Oryzias latipes: one gene and its partners. The protein of the gene in region 1 purifies or fractionates together with the protein of each later gene. This does not show direct contact. Links are inferred from orthologs where the notes say so. Each region holds a gene or a part of one and is shown in the gene's direction. Other genes may lie near its edges.

What was found.
Region 2: the proteins of fbxl5 (region 1) and mms19 purify together in Homo sapiens (affinity purification with mass spectrometry; 4 studies listed by BioGRID and IntAct, counting the BioPlex papers as one, with this or other methods). This does not show direct contact. The link is inferred for Oryzias latipes from reciprocal best matches to the Homo sapiens genes FBXL5 and MMS19.
Region 3: the proteins of fbxl5 (region 1) and aco1 purify together in Homo sapiens (affinity purification with western blotting; 3 studies listed by BioGRID, with this or other methods). This does not show direct contact. The link is inferred for Oryzias latipes from reciprocal best matches to the Homo sapiens genes FBXL5 and ACO1.

Annotation. Positions count from the first base shown.
Region 1 is NC_019862.2:28,341,973-28,348,453, forward strand, and holds part of fbxl5 (F-box/LRR-repeat protein 5), read left to right. Parts: coding exon 1-59; intron 60-1,292; coding exon 1,293-1,388; intron 1,389-1,483; coding exon 1,484-1,679; intron 1,680-2,224; coding exon 2,225-2,410; intron 2,411-2,530; coding exon 2,531-2,656; intron 2,657-2,866; coding exon 2,867-3,021; intron 3,022-3,112; coding exon 3,113-3,195; intron 3,196-3,914; coding exon 3,915-4,625; intron 4,626-4,895; coding exon 4,896-5,044; intron 5,045-6,481.
Region 2 is NC_019877.2:1,647,207-1,655,000, reverse strand, and holds the start of mms19 (MMS19 nucleotide excision repair protein homolog), read left to right. Parts: upstream 1-2,754; 5' UTR 2,755-2,862; intron 2,863-3,569; 5' UTR 3,570-3,593; coding exon 3,594-3,681; intron 3,682-4,907; coding exon 4,908-4,956; intron 4,957-5,049; coding exon 5,050-5,150; intron 5,151-5,220; coding exon 5,221-5,306; intron 5,307-5,382; coding exon 5,383-5,457; intron 5,458-5,573; coding exon 5,574-5,643; intron 5,644-5,987; coding exon 5,988-6,116; intron 6,117-6,195; coding exon 6,196-6,257; intron 6,258-7,090; coding exon 7,091-7,177; intron 7,178-7,260; coding exon 7,261-7,335; intron 7,336-7,794. Other genes in the region: ubtd1 (ubiquitin domain-containing protein 1), read right to left, coding at 2,265-2,334. UniProt on the Homo sapiens protein: Key component of the cytosolic iron-sulfur protein assembly (CIA) complex, a multiprotein complex that mediates the incorporation of iron-sulfur cluster into apoproteins specifically involved in DNA metabolism and genomic integrity.
Region 3 is NC_019876.2:30,065,889-30,073,017, reverse strand, and holds the end of aco1 (cytoplasmic aconitate hydratase), read left to right. Parts: intron 1-40; coding exon 41-197; intron 198-299; coding exon 300-424; intron 425-493; coding exon 494-598; intron 599-1,941; coding exon 1,942-2,084; intron 2,085-2,195; coding exon 2,196-2,343; intron 2,344-3,495; coding exon 3,496-3,618; intron 3,619-3,696; coding exon 3,697-3,882; intron 3,883-3,950; coding exon 3,951-4,067; 3' UTR 4,068-5,212; downstream 5,213-7,129. UniProt on the Homo sapiens protein: Bifunctional iron sensor that switches between 2 activities depending on iron availability. Iron deprivation, promotes its mRNA binding activity through which it regulates the expression of genes involved in iron uptake, sequestration and utilization.

The DNA of each region.
Region 1 (6,481 bases):
CTGATGACAAACTGTCAGAGATGCTGTCCCTGTTTGAAAAGGGGCTGCACAATGTCAAGGTAAATATGCCAAAAACCTACATTTCTTTCATGCACTCGATGCAACTAAATAACCCCTTCAGCAAATGCATGCATGCACCCGCTGATCCACAGTGTGTAGTAATCTGTTATTAGAGTAACTGTCAGGCTAACCACTAACAAGATACTAGAGCAACATCAGAGCTGTCATTTTGTTGGGATAATTATAATTTATTGAACAGACACGAACTTTAGCCTTTGAAGAACAGTAGATAAAAAGTTATTGTTTTGGCTCAAGCCTCCAGCAAACTCCAATCTCAGCTGCTTTCTTGGATTCGTGAATTTGTGTAAATTGGAACATCCGCTCTGCCAAACTCTCTAATATCTCTTTATTTAGTTTGGAGTGAGATCCTGCTTCCTGTCTGAAAGTTTCTACAGATATTAATTTGCAGCAGAGACTTATTTGTAAATTGTTGAAATATCTGTTTAAAAAAAAAGCACAAAACATTGAGTGTGGGAAGATTTGACTCGTATTCACAATCTCTGATCATCTAAAAGTCTAGCTCCTGTGGCAAACCATTGGGGAGAATAAATTCCAATTAAACTTTTCTTGTTGCAGTACACCTCAAAGAAAAAATAAAACAATAAAAATAATTGTAAAAATAGTGCGATAATAATAATAAAAGCCCCCAACACACATTCGCAGGATACAGAAACCAGCAGAGATACAGTCCATGAATCTGTATTAAAACATGTGGAAATGTAAAACTTACTTGTAAAACTTAAAAGCTAAGCTGAAAAGATTACTTAAGGTTTATCTTAAAAACCTCCACAGAGGATGCAGCCCTTGCATCAGTAGGCAGGCTGCTTCACTGGTGAGGCCCACAGTGCTGAAAATGTGGGCTTGCCATGGCTTTTTGTTCTGACCCTGGGGATCACCAGCAGACCTGCACCTGAGGGCTCTAGGATGGTTATAAACTAACAGTTCAAATTCTATTAGAGACCCAGCCCGATTATCCTTGGTCTATTTTGAAAGTGTTCCCGGTGGTCTTTTAACTATAGTTATGCAGGTTTTTTCTTTACAATATTGGAGCTGACCGGCTGTACAGTCGTGAGCCGGAAGCCAGCTCAGACGAGGAAAACAAAGAAGTTAAATTTTCCTTGCGCAACTTTTAGAATCATGCAAAATACCTAAAGCGTGGTAAACGTCTGCTTATGACTGTCCAAGAGCAGCTGATCTAAGATCTGGGATTTCTGTCTGTTCTGTGGTTTTAGAATGAATGTGAGCAGCTTAACTATGCTCGTCAGCTGAAGGAGAGACTTGAGGCGTTCACGCAGGACTTCCTGCCCCACATGAAGGAAGAGGAGGAGGTACAAGATAATCATGCGGGATAAGCAATAATCAAAAATGTCACCTGTTCATCCTTTTCAGCGTCAAGCTGTGTTTTAACGGAAATGTGTTGCAGGTGTTTCAGCCGATGCTCATGGAGTACTTCACCTACGAGGAGCTGAAAGACATCAAGAAAAAGGTGATAGCCCAGCACCACAGCCAACAGCACGGGGACTGTGCTGCCGGTGTGCTGAAGGGATTCCGTCTGTGGTCGCAGGCTGAGGAGCTGCAGAAAGCCTTTAAATATTCGGATCATGAGAAGACAGACTACGGTGAGTGTTTGTCCAAATGACTAAACTTGTTACAGGTTTCCAGTTAAGTGCATGACAAAGATGAGTCAAGCGTCTGTTGAAGGCCACACACTTCTTTTTTTGTCTTATCTTCAGTCATGTTTTAAAAAGGCTTTTTATGTAATCCAGCAGAGAAACAGTTTTTTTTTTAAATGAACAGCAACAGATAGATATTATGACCCGTTACCAAAATATGAGACTAGTTAAGGCTTTATTTGGGGTTAGTTGTGTTCAGCCCTCTAATGAACTGATAAACTGTCCAGAGTGGAGCCCAACCATAGCTGGACAGGCTCCAGCATCCCTGTGACCTATGACAGGATTAAGCAGACATAGAAAATGAATGAATGGATGGAGTTGTGTTCGTCTGTGATAGGAAACACAATTAGCAGGATACTTGAAGCCTTTTTTTTTTTGCTGTAAAATACCAACAATATTTGTACAGAACATGGATTATTTTGAGATAATTTTATCATTGTGGTATTTAAAACATTCACATGCTCTTCTTTTTTTCCCCCCTCCATCCTCAGACCTGGAGAAGAAGCAGAATATGTCAACCAACATCTCACACCTTCCTGCAGAAATAATGCTGAGGTTGTTCCATTATTTGGGCCCTAAGGATCTGTGTCGCTGCAGTCAGGTGTGCAGTTTGTGGTGGCAGCTGGCCAAGACCGGCTCTTTGTGGAGGCACCTTTACCCTGTTCGCTGGGCCCGAGGTAAACCTCAATTCATGGTTTTCATCTTTTCTTTTTGAACCAAGTAGTTGTTTTTCCTGGTAAAGATGATCTTGTAGATGCTTAGGCATCCTTGTTTCTAAAGTTTTTTTTAAAACACAGGCGATCATTATAATGGCCCTCCTGGGGATCTGGATCAGGAGCCAGATGAAGAGTGGGTGAGGAGTCGAGAGAATGAGGGTCGAGCTTATCAGAAGTGGGACGAGGACGCTGATATTGACGAGTCAGGTGAGGGCCAATAATCACTTCAAACATGCATGAGCTGAACGTTACCAGGGTCATGTGTGTGTGCTGTGAATAGTTTCATCATGACTATTGTTTTTTCCCCGGGTTTGAGTGGGGAAAAAAAAGTTCCAATGTTGAAGGTGGATGGACCTGCAGTGTGTGGTAGTTTATTGTGTTCATGAGGTAGTGACTAGATAGTGTTCTTCTCGTCAGATGTTTCGGGTCACACAGAGGGCTCGCTTGCTATCAATATGGTGCAGAGAGAGAAGAAGCTCCTGAATGGGATCATCCAGAACCTCCTCCCTGCTGTGGGTCCGTCAGTCAAATCCATTATTCTGGCCTACAGTTCAACAGTCTCAAGCAAAATGGTATGCGGCGCTTGTCCAGTCAGAGTTGCATTGCTGCCATGAGATTTGATGGATGTTAAGCTGAGCCTGAAAGCTTAAATGTCTTTTCCAGGTCCGTCAGATGGTCAGCCTCTGCCCCAACATCACTCATCTGGATCTGACTCAAACTGATGTGACAGACTCTGTGTTTGACAGGTACAAAATACTTCCTTTAAATTAGAATCTGGTTCTGTGGATTGAATGGCGACAGAATTGACTTCATTTGGTTGGAGCTGGAAATAAATCATTTTCTACGGATGACATCACAGTCAGTCGGACCACTTCTTCAGGGGTCATCATTACATCGATTGCGATAAAGGACATGTGGGTAGATCACGCGCCATCATAGATAAAAAAATCCCCCAAATTTAAATGTATATAATTAAATTAGCGAATCAAAATCCTCTCCAAGAAGTATATGACTTGATTGACATGCAGAAAGGCCAATAGAACACCCTCTGATACATGCATCACTCCACACGTGTGTTTAAATACACTGAGAACATTGTTTCTGCCCCACGGCGCGTCAAGTCCCCGGCAGAGGACCACTCTCGCCCACAGGAGTGTTAGTTGAGGCCCGGGTCGCCCCGCGTGCCTCTTCGATGGCGAGCGAGACCGTCTGACTAGGCTGTCCTGCCCCTGCAGCTGCTGCCGGCTCCGTGGTTCCCGTATTATTATGTATTACTACACAAATAATATTACACACAACAAAGCTATCTCTTCATGAAGATGTAGTTTTTGAATTTTCAACGATATGTACTAATAGTTCACAATACTATGTCATTAGATAGATATTAGAAATATACCGTACATGTATGTGGATCTGTGTCTGCGTGGAACTCAGAACACTGAGCTTTGTTCTCATTTTTCTCCAGCTGGTCATTCCTGGGAGCTTGTCGTTCTCTGGAGCACCTGGATTTGTCGGGATGCGAGAAGATCACCGATCTCACCCTGAAGAAGCTGTCTACCGGGTTAGGGGAACTCCCCTCCTCCTCCTCCTCCTGCTCTGACAAAACCTCACAGTTGAAAAGTTTCACCGCGCACATCGATGAGCGAAACCTGCACGCGTTGGAGCGAAAGAAGCAGGCCATCGTTTTCAAGTACGGGACTCGGCGCTGGGGGGGGCCCTGCATCCCAACGCCGGTGTGGGTTGTGGAGACCTCCGACCTGGCCGATATTGAGGACGCTGCAGCGTGGAGCCGGCGGGGCGGGATGCCCCTCCCTGAAAGCTTCGTAGAGACGCAGCTGATGGGCGGCTCTTGCTGTTGCAGGACGAGCAGAAGGCAAGGCCACCGGATGGGGTCGGACGCCTCATATTTGCATCAGCAGTACGCCATGTCGGGGGAAATATTCTGCGGTCACTCCACCTGCTGCTCAGGTGACATCGCCCTCAGGACGTTTACAGTGCGCGAAAGCGTGTCGGGCTGCGGCAGGAACGCCACTGCAGGATCTCGGACTAAATGCCCTCCACTGGGAGGACTGCAGTGTCTGCAGCCTGAAAACAGGACTGACTGCTCACCCGCTAAACGGGCGCTGAAATTTCTCAGTCTCTCTGGATGTTACCAAATCACCGACCTGGGCTTGAGGTAGTTATCCTCTATTTCTTTACACAAAGACTCACTAACACAGTAAAAAACGCTTCTATTTCAACACCTGAGGTGTTAACTAAGGTGGAGAAACCAGCATTATTATGCAAAGATTTAATCCCCAATGAGGGATCAGTTATCAGAAATCAATGGCCTCATTGACCAATGAGAGCCGTTATACTCTCCATAGCAGTTGCTATGGGAAACAGCGTCCTGATAAGGCTAAGTCTGGAGTAGCACCACTCACCTCCCCCTCCATCTGTGTTTCAGGACTTTGTCCCAGCATGGAGGGCTTCCCGTCATGGAGCATCTCAACTTGTCTGGTTGTCTCTCCATCACTGAGGTGGGGCTGCAGGAGCTGGTCTCAGCCTGCCCATCCCTCAATGATGAGCACTTCTATTACTGCGACAACATTAACGGTAACACAAGCGAAGCTGCTAGCAGCTCATCTTCACCCTGACACAAAGTCATGCTTGTTGTTGATGTTTAGTTCTTGATGAAGCTGCTTATAGATTCAGTAAAGGAAATGGGTATTTGATCCCCTAGTAACCATTAAGAGTTCTGGTTCACACAGACCAGTTAGACTATCCTGATCAACCTGTCACCTGAATTGAAGGCACCTGTTTGAAATAATCACCTGTAGAAAAGACACCTGTCCATAGAATCAGTCAGACTCCAAACTCTCCAACATGGGAAAGATTAAAGAGCTTTCAGTTGATTTTAAGCAGACCAGAATGGACTACAAAACCATTGGCATGAAGCTGGAGGTTAAGGTGACATCCGTTTGTGTAATTGTGCCAAAACACAAGAACATGACCATCAATCCACCTGTAGGTTTGAGGCTCCAGACACAGTCTCACCTGGGGGGGTTTCCACAGTTATGACAACAGTAAGGAACGGCCTAAAACAACACGGCAGGAATTAGTTGATGATCTCAAAGCAGCTGGAACCATAGTCACCATGGAAACCACATGAAACCACCATGGTTTAACATCTTCCAGTGCTGGCAAAGTAGCCCTGCTTAAGAAGGCACATGTGCAGACCCACCACATGTTTACCAATGAACACCTTCATGGTTTTAGAGTAGAGAGGGATTGGGACAAGGTGCTGTGATCAGCTGTTTGGCATCAACTTAACCCGATGAGTCTGGAGGGAAAAAAGTTGTTCAGCATGGAGGTGGAAACATAATGCTTTGGGGGTGTTTCTGGATTGACGGAGCCATATTCTGTCAAATCCTGAGTGACAACCAGCTTCTCTCCACCAGGAGGCTTAAATGGTTCGTGGATGGGTTCTCCAACAGGGTCATGACCCAAAACATACAAGGAACGGCTAAAGAAGCATATAATGGTCATGGAGTGGCTTCAGCCAGTCTCCAGAAAGAGAGCTGAAGCTCAGAAGACAAACTTGAATAATTTAGAAGTCATTTGCAAAGAAAAGTGGACCAAAATTCCTCCTATGTGCAGAAACTCCAAGAAACATCTGACCTCTGTGCTACTAATCAGGGTTTTGCCACAAAAGGACTACGTTTTCCAGGCTAGAGGGATCAAATACTTGTTTACCTCGATGAAACCCAAATAAAAGTAAAATGTCTAAAGTTAATTCATTGATTTTCTATCTCTCAATGTTCAAATGAACCTACCAATAAGAGAAAAGACTTCTTTTTAAGTGAACAAACCTACAATATCACCATGGGATCAAATAGTTATTTCCTCCGCTGCAGGCAGTAGGCCTGTGACGGTGGCAGTTCAGCTTCAACTAACCCCACACGCTCAGATTGTGTTGTAGAGTACATAACCACTGCTGCTGTGATGAGGTAAGGATTTCTCCCAGGAGCCACTCTGGTTTTTCCCGTTTCA
Region 2 (7,794 bases), on another chromosome or scaffold:
TTTCTAGGACATAGTTTCTGCAGAGAGGAAGGCGTTCTTTCGACATCCACCTCTGAGTTGTTGGCAGGACGGTGGGTGCAGAGCTAAGCCGCAGCTGATATCCCATCATCCCTTTGTTTACTTGCTCTCCCGTTAGCTCACAGCCCCTCACAACCACAAGCTAACATTAGCGGTGCAACAAAAATGGCGAGCAATCCAGTTTAGATCCAGATTCCAGCTCAGACGAGGAAAACAGAGACGTTCATGGATGTGTTTGTCTGCAGGTGGATGATCAGAATGGAGCAGAGCAGGGTGCTTGTAGCCCCCCCCCAGTATTTTCTACGACACCAAAATGATCTTTTTCAAACTGCATCTTTTCAGTCTTTAAAGAGATTTCTGAAACGTTTGATGGGAATAGTTGTGGTAAAGCAGAAATAAGAGGAAACGCCTGGTTGGTAAGAAATAGAGCACATAAAACGACACATTTCAGACCGGAGGAACAACTTCAGTCTGTTTCTCTCAGCAGCAGCAAAACCATTTCTCCCTTTTTGAGTTTGGATGAGACGCCTGCATTCCTCAGCAGCGTCCTCTTCAACGCTTTTGCAGCTCTGAGGGTTGATGGTCGTTGATGGTCGTCCATCATCGCCTGCGAGCCTTCAGCTGTCAAACTCAGGCGCTTGTGGAAGCTCATCAGCAGCAAAAACCTTCACATTAGCAGCTGAACGAGGCTGACCTGACCAAAGTCGTGACCACAAACAAGGATTCACTCACACATTTCATCGCCCAATTTCTGCTCCGTCACACAAGCGTCTGCAGGTTGGAGAGTCAGCGATTGCCGCAGGGCATGATGGGACTTGTTCTCTGTTAATGAGGGAGTGTCTGACGGCAAGCGAAGCAGGAAATGAGTCACAGTAAAATACGAGAGGAATGTTTGCTCCGACAGCCTCAATAAATTCTAGACACTAACGTGCAAAAACACACTCAGCCCCAGTGGTTTGATGCTCTAAGCAATGTGAACGGTGGCTGCCTGGAAAAACTTGGTTTTATCCTGTAAAACTGGAGTAAACGCCAACGCAACACATATATGGACACACGCCAAGGTGACCTTATATGACCACAGCTATCACTGTCAAAAACACAGAAAGGTTCAAAGCAAAACCCTCAGAGAGACTGCTGTAAACATGTTTCAAAATAAGAGCATACAAATAAAAAAGCAAAAATAGAAATCATTTCAAAATAAAACCAAGGTAGAATTAGAGTGCAAGCACATTCATGTAAACATCTTCGCTTAAAGAAGCACTGCCATGAAAATGGAGTTTTAAACGTGTTCTTGTAGCATCTTTTGATGATGGGAGGACAAATGGAAAGAAAATGAAGCTCAAAATTCCGTTTCTGAGTGTCTTCTTTATTCAAATCAATGCAAATCGGGAGCAGACGGAAAAAAACGTGGTTTGGAAAACATCGTATTTGTGATGAAGAAACAAGCTTCCTGCTCCGCCCCATTCTTAAGCATCCACCTGCATGAACGACGAACGTTTTATTTTAAAGAACTCCTGCCACGCCGCAGGAGCTCCGATCAAAGGTTCAAATGGAGAACATTTCCTTCAAAGCAAGCTGTTTGACTCCCTTTTGTTTTTTTGCATTTGGCCTCACAGGTCGACCGTCCTCTACACTCTCGTGTGCTTCAACTTCAGCCGGACCTTTCGCCAGGTTAAGAGATGCACAAACATGGAATAAACAATAGGTTTTGAACTTTCTATACACGCATTCTACAAATAAATGTGCGTTGAGTGTGTATGTATGCACTGCAGAAGATTCCCAAACTTTTGGGCGGATTACAGACAATACTTGTGCAAACAAAGGAGAGCAGCTATTCCACCACTTCTTATGCAGGTCAAGGTCAAACGCAGAGGAGGCCACGTTCCTGTTTGCACCCTAAAACCAGCGTTCAGAGGCGCTGCTGCATCACGTGATCACGTGATCCATTCAGTCACAGGTTCCTCAGGTACCAGCTCACCTGCACGCATTCAAATGTGTGTCCTTTCCGGGTTCAAGTCCAACCAAATCAGCTAAAGCTCGTTTGCATAGTAGTTAGGGTCAAACAACAGTGTCAGGTGTCAAATAGTTGAAGATAAATGTCAAATAAGAACATAAATAATACCCCCCCCCCCCCCCCCCCCCCAGGTTTAATTAACCTACATTTAGCTCGTTTTCTTGTCTTTTTCTATGACTCTGCTGCATTTGCTACTCTAAAGTGTCATATAAACAGCAAACTCCGAACCCACCGTTCCCGGACGAACCTCGGCTCTGTGACTCGTCCCAGCCTCGCCAGTACCTCCCCACGCATCCTCCCATGGCCGGAGGGGCTGTGGTCGCTCCCCGCGGGGCTTCACTGGCTTCCAACGGGGCCCATGGCGACGAAGAACCGAGTCCGGCGAAGATCAGAACCCGCAGGTGCAGCGCTGCTAGCCGGATATGTCATCCGGTGACAACAAGGCGGTGAAATCCGGTGGGAACCGTTAACAACTTTTTTTCTGTTGTCTGAATAACCGGTAAAGTTCGGTTTAGTTGCAACTGTAAACAGAAAAGCTTTCTTGCTAACAGGCTAACTGGGCTAACCAGCTAGCTCCGCCAGAAAACACAAACTTCCGCGTGCTCGATGTCATTTCCCCGAGTTTTATCTTCCCTATAAAAGGGTCTGGAGGTAGAGCTTCACTCGGAGCTGAATGCAGAACCGTATCACGCCCTTCACGCGCTCCCGGACTACTTTTCTTCAAAAGACTTGGAAAAACTCCTCACTTTCTGTTGCTGCTGGTTGAGAAAGTGTTCAGAAACGAGCTAAGGCAGGCGAACTTTTCTGCACATGCGCAGACAACCAGGCAGGTGGGTCTGAAGGAAACGTAAATAAATGATAGCAGTGACGTCACAATAATGGTTCAAACCGTCTTTGATATTAGGAGAGAAAAAACAATACACAATGACAATAAGTACATTTTAAAAGGGCACAAAGTAAAAATACTATCAATAAAGTACAGATTCTTATGAATATTTCACTTTTTTGTAGGTATTTTTCAAACTTATCCAAACAAATTAGGATTTTTCCATATAGTTTAAAAAAATACTGAACAAAAACGTGTGAATTCCAGTTTATTATAACGTCACATGAAAACTTAGATAGAATGAATGCAGTCATACGATGAACAAAAAAATATTTTACGTAGTTTAATATCTTCTGGGATTTTAATCCAGATCATGTTATCAAACGGTTTCAGCTTTTAGTCCAGCTTGAAACATATTTCACTGCTTAATTAATGCACTTATAAAAGTATGACATCTCCAATAACACCTTTATGACCAAACAAAAATGATCAAGCTTAATAAATTGTTACATTTATACTTGTTTATGTTTTTTGAGATACTTTGAATGTAATGGTGTCTTGGACATAAATGTGTCGTTCTTTTGTGTAAAATCTCTATATTTATTTTATTTAAAAGCACAAACAATATTTTTTAAAAATATATTTATATTTTTTCTTAACCAAGAAAAAAAAAGTTGGACTTTGGCGTTTGAACTTTCTGCACATGCGCAGTGTCAGCAGCGTGGAGGAAGCGCGATGGCTGCGGACGGTGCCTTGCTGCTGTCTCTGGTGGAGGAATTCGTCTCCGGATTGCAGGACAGCAAAGCAAAGGACGCCGCTAAAGGTACAGCAGTCGTGTCCGGTGTTTGTCCTCACATTTACCAGCGGGTTTGTGTGGAAAACTGAGCTGGAGCCGTTAGTTTCCCATAAAGGTGCGTGGGGGTTAACTAGCTAAACTTAGCGTCACAACATCCTGTGCGGGATGCTGCGTGAGAAGCTCCTCCTGACACTAAACATGTCATGAATCTGCCCTTTTTCCGGGGCGGCAGGAACTCGCAGCTATCTTTGTTTACTGAAACCATGACTGTACCTGCAGTCTGCTGTGGTCTCGTGCCTGCTGCTAGCTAGCTGCTGGCTGGGCGCGAGGAGGATCCTGTCATTGAACCCTCAACCCCCGATTTACCTTTGATCCCGAGTTTGTCTGTGTGGGCAAAGCAGGGAAACACGTCCAGACTACCGAACCGATTCGGTTCCGATTCAGCACAGACCTGATAACTTATGACGTATCAAATTAAAGGAGTTTTAATTATACCCAAAGTAAACAGAGGGGGATCTTTCAAAATAAAACGATCACTTATGTCAATCAAATTTACTGAAGTTTGTTTTTCCCCTGATACTATATTTATTTAAAGGCTGTTATGACGGAATACTGAGGCCACCATGAAAGAAAAGCAAATATTTGACAATGAAGTTGTAACATTATAAGAGAAAAGTTCAAATTTTTACAGGAATTCAGTCGTGAAATTATGAGGAAAAAAGTCCAAACTTTATTATGAGAATTGAACTGTAAAATAATCTGAGAGAAGTCTAAATTTGACGCAAATAGTCCTAAAATTTTCCAAAAGAAATGCATATTAAATCAGTTTTTAGTTTTTTCCTTTTAAAATTCAGACTTTTATTTATTTACTTATTTGAAAAAGTATGACTATTTCCTTGCAATATTGCAACTTTTGAAGTAAAACATTTACAGCTTTATGTTAGAAAATTGTCGTTTTCCCTTTTTTTAAAGTTTTTTCTTGTACATTTTTTTTCCTTGTAAAATTTTGTCTTTATTTTTCTCAGAATTGTACAACTTTATTCTATATATGTACTCATTGTTTCCGTTACCGTGGTCCTATTTGCACGTAAGGCGGCGGGCGCGTTCTTACTTCGACCTCCACTGCAGCGGCAAAGGAAAGCGATAAATACGCTGATGGTTCACATCAAGCAGCCAATCAGAATTGAGACCCGGACCGTGGTATAATATGGATTATTTAAGCTTTTGTTGACATATTATTGATTCTTGCTCAGGTGTCAAAGATGGAGCGTTTACAGTTTTGCAGTTAGTGGAAGCGTTGGGGTGAGCCTTTGTCTTTTTCTCCTTTACTTTTTTACAAAAACACAAAAAAGTGACGCCGTTCTTGTTTTCAATCGACTTCCCGTCCACCCGCAGGCCCAGCCTGACCAGCTCGCAGCCGCAGACTCGCGCCCGCGGCGTCCAGCTGCTCTCCGAGGTCCTACAGGACGGCCGTGCAGAGCTGTCGCAGAAAGAAGGTCAGAACACCAAGCCTTTTCGTCTGCTCAAAGTGAGGAGCGTTGTTGACATCCTGTTGTCCCATCGCAGTGGAAGTGCTCATGGCTTTCTACCAGAACCGCCTCAAAGACCATCACGTCACCACTCCGCCCGTCCTACGGGGGCTGCTCGCCTTGGTAAACTTGGGGGACCCGGTTTCAGACGGAGGCGCTGCTGGAGCCTCCTTGTAAGTTTGTGTTGGTTTCTCCTCAGACCAAGTGTGCGGCGCTGCCTCCCGGCTCGGCCGTGTCCATGCTGAGGTCGCTGTTCCAGGACGTCCACGTCCAGGTGAGGTTCTCCATGAAGAAACCAGGATCTCCTCCACTTCCTGTTTTCCGGTAAAGGTCTGCTCCGTGCCGTTTGTCTCGAGGTCTATCTTGACGTTGTTGTTTTTTGTCTCTCAGTCGCTGATGCTTGCAGAGCGAGCGTGTGTCTACAACATGCTCACCAACCTGATGGAGACCAGGGAAGCCGGTAAGAGTCTTCCTCAAAGTGAAGGGGTTCTGTGCTGCCCGTCCCAGGAGATGCAGAGCCATCAGAAGCTTTATAAAGAGAGAGGCGCTTCTAGAGTAGAGGATCTAACCTGATCTAGAGGATCTAGCTGACATTTGTGAGACCGTGCTCTAGTGGTCACTTGGTGAACTGCGGGTCGCTCCAAACCAGTTTAGGCTTGTTTGATAAACTGAATTAATGATTTGATTATTTAAATTCTTTCTAATTTCTCCAATTGTCAATAACGTTTGTTTATAGTATCCATACAAATATCTGACACTCTATGCGTTTGGCGGTCTCTCACGTCCTCTCAATCCTCCATTCAGAGCTGAAGAGTTTGGGAGCCGACTTTGTCTTTGGTTTCGTCCAATCAATGGACGGCGAGAGAGACCCTCGCAACTTGCTGCTGGCCTTCAGGATCGCCAGAAACCTCATCGTCCAAGGATACGATCTGGGTGAGAAGACCTTCCTCCCCCCCCGTCTGTTGGTGATGTCACGGTTTCCTTCTCTCAACCTTCCTGTCTGCTGTCTCAGGTAAATTCGCAGAGGAGCTCTTTGAAGTGACTTCCTGCTATTTCCCCATCGACTTCACCCCGGTAAGTTCCTGTTGACGACGTCTGCAGACCGCCAGAGAAAACTGTTGCTCCTCCCCCCAAAAAACAAGTGTGATCTGGGCATTCGTGCTCCTCATTGGGGTCTCCATCCTCTCCTCTCTGGAGAAAAATCAGCTAAAGTAAAATATGTCGCTCTATTATCTTCAGGATCTGCTACATGTCCCTCTCTCTCCCTGTCTGTCCCTGCCACCCGAGAGCTGCACAAATTCATTAAAAAAACACGCTTTTGTCATAACGGTGCCTTTTATGTACGTTTGTCTCCATAGCAACCATTTCAATTTTTGGTCGTTTGAGGCCGACGGACAGATCAATGTCATTTTTAGAGGAATACATTTTTGGATTTCCTTAGCAACTGAGGTTTTTTGTCAACCCCGCCCACATTCCTAATATGTTCATATCTACAATGTCCTGGTAAAAAATGTGCGAGCAAAAGTTTAAGTCGCACTGCCCCCATCTGAAAATCGCCCAATTTTACACTTTGCCACCTTTTGCCATCCCATAATAATTTCAAAACTTACTTTAAATATCCCTGACATGTGTGTTTTGGTTTTGCCGGGTTTTTTTTGAGCCCCCGGAGATTGTGGGAGTGTCAGCAGCAGTGTCTGCAGCAGCGTCTGCAGGAGCGTCTGCAGCTGTGTCGGCAGCATCTGCAGCAGCGTCTGCAGCATCTGCAGCAGCGTCTGTGCAGATCTCTGACATGGTTCTCCAGGGTTCTGACATCTGAACTCTTTAGATCAGGACGCGATTCCAGGATAACTTTTCATCTAACCTGTCCTCCTATTCTTTTTCCAAAACCCCCTCCTGGTCCACTGCAGCCCCCCAACGACCCCCACGGCATCACCAAAGAGGAGCTGGTTCAGGCTCTGAGGGCCGTCCTCACCGGAACGCCAAAGTTTGCCGAGGTAACGACGGCGGGTCTGCTTCTTCTGACTCGATCCCCTGAGCAAACATTCTCCGGCAAACGTTTCTGTTCGGCTTCCCACAGTTTCTGTTCCCCCTCCTCATCGAGAAACTGGACTCAGAGGTTCAGAGCGCCAAGCTGGACGCGCTGCAGACTCTGGTGAGGAGACACGCCGTGACGCTGAAACAAGACACCAGTTTTCCTCCAGTCTCGTAAAGCAGCACAGTGCATAAACCCGTGCTTTTACTCTGAAAGGGTAAAGGGCGGGAAACCTTTTTCTGCAGAAAACGGACGTCTGAAGTGAATTTTTATTTCTTAATTTTATTTCACCTTTATTTACCGAAGAAATGTCCCATTGAGATCAAGAATCTCTTTTTCAAGGGAGTCCTGGCTAGAAGGAAACAATAAATTATATCTACAATAAAATGTAAACAATTAAAACAAAATAAATAAACACAAAAGCTGATTCAGCTCAGACATGCTGATGTTTAGATCTGCTGTCGCTGCAGTCGTTTGTTTTTTAGTTTTGGACAAAAGAGGAGATGGAAGAGTTCTGTGACGAAATAAAACACATTCTATTAGAAATCCTTTTCTAAACTATCTGTTATTTTGGGTCTT
Region 3 (7,129 bases), on another chromosome or scaffold:
TTGGTTGCCTGTGAGGTGCTGATGCTGGTCTGTGCTTCAGGGGGACCTGGTGGCCGCCGGCATCCTGTCAGGGAACAGGAACTTTGAGGGCCGGGTCCATCCCAACACCAGGGCCAACTACCTGGCTTCTCCGCCGCTGGTCATCGCTTATGCGATTGCCGGCACCGTGAGGATCGACTTTGAGACGGAGCCCATCGGTGAGGGGGCCGGTCCAAACCCGCGTCGCAGTCCCGGCTCCAGGGTTTAGCGCTGTGAGCGTGCACTGCCATGGCGGTCATGCATCGTTTCATTTTCCACAGCCACCAACTGTGACGGTAAAGACGTCTACCTGAGGGACATCTGGCCCACGCGGGAGGAGATCCAGGCCGTGGAAAAAGAGTTTGTCATTCCGTCCATGTTCAGAGAAGTCTACCAGAAGATCGAGGTAACCGCTGGCAGCTTCTAACAGAGACGAGTTGATGAGGATCATGGATCTGCATGTTTGTGTTTGCAGAAAGTGAACGAACGCTGGAACGCTCTGGAGGCTCCCTCTGACAAGCTGTACACCTGGGATCCCAAGTCCACTTACATCAAGTCTCCACCGTTCTTTGAGGGTTTGGTAAAGATGTTTCTAAAACTTCTCATGTTCTCCCAGAAAGATATTTTTGAAAATCTGCATCACATGTGGCGATGAGGAAGCTGAATAAAACAGCAGGAAGCCAGTGTGTGCTGATGGTGATGATGGTGATGATGGTGATGATGGTGCTGATGGTGACGATGGTGATGATGGTGCTGATGGTGATGATGGTGCTGATGGTGACGATGGTGACGATGGTGATGATGGTGATGATGGTGACGATGGTGATGATGGTGATGATGGTGCTGATGGTGATGGTGATGATGGTGATGATGGTGACGATGGTGATGATGGTGATGATGGTGCTGATGGTGATGGTGGTGATGGTGATGATGGTGCTGATGGTGCTGATGGTGCTGATGGTGATGGTGATGATGGTGACGATGGTGCAGATGGTGATGATGGTGCTGATGGTGATGATGGTGCAGATGGTGTAGATGGTCATGATGGTGACGATGGTGCTGATGGTGATGATGGTGACGATGGTGCTGATGGTGCTGATGGTGACGATGGTGATGATGGTGATGATGTTGATGATGGTGATGATGGTGACGATGGTGATGATGGTGATGATGGTGACGATGGTGATGATGGTGATGATGGTGCTGATGGTGATGATGGTGCAGATGGTGCAGATGGTGTAGATGGTCATGATGGTGACGATGGTGCTGATGGTGATGATGGTGACGATGGTGCTGATGGTGATGATGGTGATGATGGTGATGATGGTGCTGATGGTGACGATGGTGACGATGGTGCTGATGGTGCTGATGGTGACGATGGTGATGATGGTGATGATGGTGATGATGGTGATGATGGTGCTGATGGTGACGATGGTGACGATGGTGCTGATGGTGCTGATGGTGATGATGGTGCTGATGGTGACGATGGTGACGATGGTGACGATGGTGACGATGGTGCTGATGGTGACGATGGTGACGATGGTGCTGATGGTGATGATGGTGACGATGGTGATGATGGTGCTGATGGTGACGATGGTGCTGATGGTGCTGATGGTGACGATGGTGATGATGGTGATGATGTTGATGATGGTGATGATGGTGCTGATGGTGCTGATGGTGATGATGGTGCTGATGGTGATGATGGTGATGATGGTGATGATGGTGCTGATGGTGCTGATGGTGCTGATGGTGCTGATGGTGCTGATGGTGATGATGGTGATGATGGTGACGATGGTGACGATGTTGATGATGTTGATGATGGTGATGATGGTGATGATGGTGCTGATGGTGATGATGGTGATGATGGTGATGATGGTGATGATGGTGTTGCTACCACATTACAACCACAACTCCTCCCATCAGACCCTGAAGCTGCAGCCCCCCCGCTCCATAAAGGATGCGTACGTGCTGCTCAACCTGGGAGACTCGGTCACCACCGATCACATCTCTCCTGCCGGAAACATCGCCAGGAACAGTTCGGCAGCTCGTTACCTGGCAGACCGAGGGTAAATGTGCCGTCTCTTTCTGTGCACACACTTGTGTGAGTCCTGCGGCGCTAAAGAACAGAATTAGAATTCCTGCTATTCTTCTTCTTTTCTTCTCCTCTGTTTCTCCAGTTTGACTCCTCGAGACTACAACTCGTACGGCTCGCGGCGAGGAAACGACGCCGTCATGGCCAGAGGGACGTTCGCAAACATCCGCCTCTTCAACAAGTTCCTGGGCAAGCAGGCGCCGCAGACCGTCCACCTGCCGAGCGGAGAAACGGTCAGACTGCTGCCGCCGCTCTCTCTCTTTGTCCCGTCGCTCGCCGTCTCTTTGCTTTTTACCTTTCTGTGGAATCAGCCGTCTAAAAACATACGTGTTCGATGCTGGACTGGTCAGGCTTACGTTACTGGTGGCGGAGGGCCGTGTCGCACAGCCACTACGCACGTTTTCCACGTATGAATGTCGGTCTTCCGTGATCTGTGTGTGATCTACGTCATCCGTACGTGTTTTTTGTGTTCATCAATGTGCTCAGATGAATGTTGAGGGTTTCAGCTTTTTACAGGATGAAAACCACTGATGTGTAACTTTTAGATCATGTATACGGCGCACAGATCACGTTCAGATGACATCATTGATGCATGAATCACTGATGAATTACAGATAAACATCACAATAATCACACGCTTCATGTTCTACGTTGGTTTACGTGTTCTTAGCGTGTTTATTCCTACTTTACCATGGTCTGAGTGAATACTTGATTCTGATTGGCTGCTGGGTGTGCATTAAAAAGTGTTAACCGCACGCCCCAAAAACATGTTCCGGTCACATAGCTTAAATGTTCTGAATCACGGCGCCGGCTTCTTTCAAACAAACGTTAGCTTCATCATCTGGACAAAAACAAGCGGTTGAACACATCGTGATCATCAGCATAGATATCGTTTTCCTTTGCCGCTGCACTCGAGGTCGGCGCCGGCTGAGCCGGTAATGTGACAACGCGCCGCACCACCTACCAAATAGACCGCTTTTTGTGAAAAAAATGAATCCAAACTGAAAAAATAACTAGGATAAAGGACTAAAACTGGATTAAATATTTATTTCTTTTATTAGTGACCGTGGTATAAACGGGGTACTGGCCTTTAAAGTGTGCATTATCAGAAAGTAACGCACCGACGGTTAATTCTGCGAAGTGCATTAACTTCTGCATTAATTACTTCTTCTGTGGTTTTAACGTGGTTCATTCCTGATACATCTGTGAACATAAAGACCCCCGTATGTCACTTTTTCCAGGTATGACCAGTTCTCCAAATGTACGTGGTGTCTGTGGGACTCGACCTTTGTCCTCATGCTGATGTCAGCAGAGTGCTGTGTCTCTCATTCTAACTTTCTCTCTTCAGCCGCTCCGTGTAAAGTCCACTTCCTCTGTTTCTGCAGCTGGACGTGTTCGATGCTGCAGAGAGGTACCGGCAGTCCGGTGAGCCGCTGCTGGTTCTGGCGGGGAAAGAGTACGGCTCCGGGAGCTCCAGAGACTGGGCGGCCAAAGGCCCGTTCCTGCTGGTGAGAAGACGTTCTGTGGGAGATGTCGCTCAGACTCTACCGGCAGAGTTTCACGGGTTTTCTCTGACTCTCTGCCAGGGCATCAAGGCGGTTCTGGCTGAGAGCTATGAGAGGATCCACCGCAGCAACCTGGTGGGGATGGGAGTCATCCCCCTGGAGTATCTGCCAGGAGACTCAGCGGACAGCCTGGGCCTGACGGGCCGGGAGCGCTACAGCATCAGCATCCCAGAGCCGCTCACGCCCAGGATGCTGGCGGATGTGAAGGTGGGTTTGGCGGTCTCACGGGTGCTAATGTGAAGAGGCGGTCTCACCAGCTTCTCCTGCCCTCACAGCTGGACTCTGGGAAAACCTTCCAAGTGCGAATGAGGTTTGACACCGACGTGGAGCTGACCTACTTCCACCACGGAGGAATCCTCAACTACATGATCCGCAAGATGTCAGCAAACTAAAGCCGGCTTTCTGACGGAAACAGCTGACAGAACCACGGCCCAGAAGATTGAATCATTTTCCATAACCGCTGCAAACATAGGAAACGGTCTCTGAGCGGCAACACAGATGACCGTCTGTCCAGATCAGAACTACAACTGAAGAAGGTTTAGTTGTATAACTGAATCCTTTTCATGAGGTTAAACAGGAAGTCCTCGTCTCACCTGCAGGTGGGAGGAATGTCCTTCCTGATGCAGGTAAACGCCGCGTCCCACAGCCTCTACGTACGTTTGGATGTAAACTGGTCAGACGTGAATCATAAGTGAGAAAGTTGTGGTCTTTAGGTGAAATGTTCACAGATGTATCAGGAATGAACCACGTTAAAACCACAGAAGAAGTAGGAATAAACACGCTAAGAACACGTAAACCAACGTAGAACATGAAGCGTGTGATTATTGTGATGTTTATCTGTAATTCATCAGTGATTCATGCATCAATGATGTCATCTGAACGTGATCTGTGCGCCGTATACGTGATCTAAAAGTTACACATCAGTGGTTCATGCATGAAAAGTCTGTTAGACAAACGTGGAACGCTCCTGGAAAGACACACATTTCTGGAGGAATCTCACAAAAATGACATAGATCACGCATGGATCACGGATGACCAACATTTCATACGTGGAACACGTGCGTAGTGGCTGTGAGACACGACCTTTAGGGTGACCTTGTCAGTCTGTTTCTCTGTCAACACTTCAGTTCCAGGACATTGCCTCATGGCTGACGGGGGACCAGCAGCAGGCGGACCACCTGAACTCTGGTGTCCATGGAGTTGAATGGACCTCTGAAAGTGCACTTCTCATTCCAGTGGGCTGTTCCACGCCCCCCAGTACCCCCCCAGTACCCCCCCAGTACCTCTGACTGTCATGTTGATGCCTGGACCAACTTATAAAGCTGTTTTTTGTCTTACTGCAGCCAGAAAACGTAACAAAAGCTGATCTGCTGTGGGGTCCAATTAGACTCGGTTTAGAATAAAGGAAAAACCAGATTATACCTTTGAAACATGTATTGTAAACTTACAAGAAATATTAATAACTTGAAAAAAAAATGTACATTTAAAACTTGAATAAAAATAAAACTGTGACCAAATAATAAAAAAATGAACATTTTTTTTTCTACTTGTTTCATCATTTCTCCCTCTTTGCTTTCAGCTTTCAAGTTTTCACCCCTGAACTCATCCTATTACTCCGTGGGGGCGGGGCTTTGAGCTCATTTACTTACTTACTTCCACTTTCGGCTTCTCCCATCAGGGGTCGCCACAGCGAACAAGTCGCATGGTAAATTTGGCAATGTTTTACGCCGGATGCCCTTCCTGACGCAACCTTCTCAAACCGGACTTGGAACCGGCAGAGGTAGAGAAGGGAACAGGGAGCAGCCCGGAGTCGAACCCTGGTTTCACGGACGGAAGGCGCTGCAAGCCAGCACGAGCTAAACTGTATAGCTCATTGTATAGCCCAAAATCACCTCAACAGTCGTCTCGATGGGCTTTGTGCAGATAAATGTAGTGTAAAACATCAAATCAAAGGATCATGAACACAATTCAATAAAGATCGTCGGTTGGCTTTGGGTACAGACGTGGATTGGTTGTAGTGCAGGCAGGATCTGGAGGTCCCTTGAAAATGTTCGTGTGGTTGCAGTGAGATCAGATCATGCCTTTAAGTGTGTGTGGTGCTGGAGTCATGTCAGGTCAAAGATGGGTTAAAATGCAGACAGGAAACACATTAAGTTAAATAATCTCTGAATACTAACTAGTCTGATAATAATCCAGTCCACAGAGGAATGTTTTCAGTCTAGCTTTGAATGTAGAAACTGAGTCGGCCTCTCTTATATGAGCTGGGAGTTTATTCCATAAGACAGGGGCTTGGTGGCTAAACGCTCTACCTCCAACCGTACTTTTACCAATTCTAGGAACCACAAGCAGTCCTGCATTTAGTGAGTGAAGTGTTCTGATTGGATGGTAAGGGACTATGAGGTCCTTAATATAGGACGGGGCCATTCCATGTAAGGCCTTATAGGTTAACAGGAGGATCTTGAACTTGATTCTGGAATCAACTGGGATCCAGTGAAGTGAAACTAACAGAGGAGTGATGTGATCTCTTCTGCTAGTTCCTGCTAACAATCTAGCTGCTGCATTCTGAACAAGCTGGAGACTTCTTAAGGAACTCTTAGGACACGCTGCTAACAAGGAGTTACAGTAATCCAGCCTCGACGGAACAAATGCATGGATGAGTTTTTCAGCATCACTCTTAGAAAGTAGATTTCTGATCTTAGCAATATTCCGCAGGTGGAAAAAACAGGTTTTTCATTTTCTACACTTTTTTTTCTCGTTTAAATTCTCAAAGTTCAAACCTTCATGGAAAAAGAGTTCAGTATTAGAACAAAAACAAGAATCTAATCACGATGAAGATTTGCGTTACGTTGGCTAGCTGCACGTGCAGAAGAGATTGATTGACAAGCTCAAAAAGCACAAAGTCGCGCTGAAAATAATCAACCAATGAGGGAGAGCGGGAAAAGTTCAATGACTACGTCAAAGTGGAGGGGCACAGGCCGCGACATAAAAGAACGCCGTTCTGAAGGAGAACACCATGAGCTCTTTGGGAAACATGGGAAATCATGAGCTCAAAGCCCCGCCCCCACATATAAATAAGAACAATGAGATCAAAGCCCCGCCCCCGCGTATAAATAGGATCTGCTCAGCAGCGAAAACTGAGAACGGAAAGTATGGAGCCCGTGTCCTGACATCAAAAAATTAAAATATATCTTGTTTCCACAGATTAATATCTCGTTCGGACGAAATACTATTCCATTCCCACAAGATACTTACCCAACATGCTTTTCGTGATGCATCTTGGGGTATTGGCCACAGTCATGTTTGCAATGCTAGGAGCTAAAAGCTAAGTCCGGTAGGCGAAGCAGCTAGCTAAATCTTATGATATTTTTCTGATTTTCATCGAGACAATAATAGATCGACCATTCTTGCTTTTATTTTTACCCCTTTTGAAAGCTCACAGAGACACGGAAGTAGC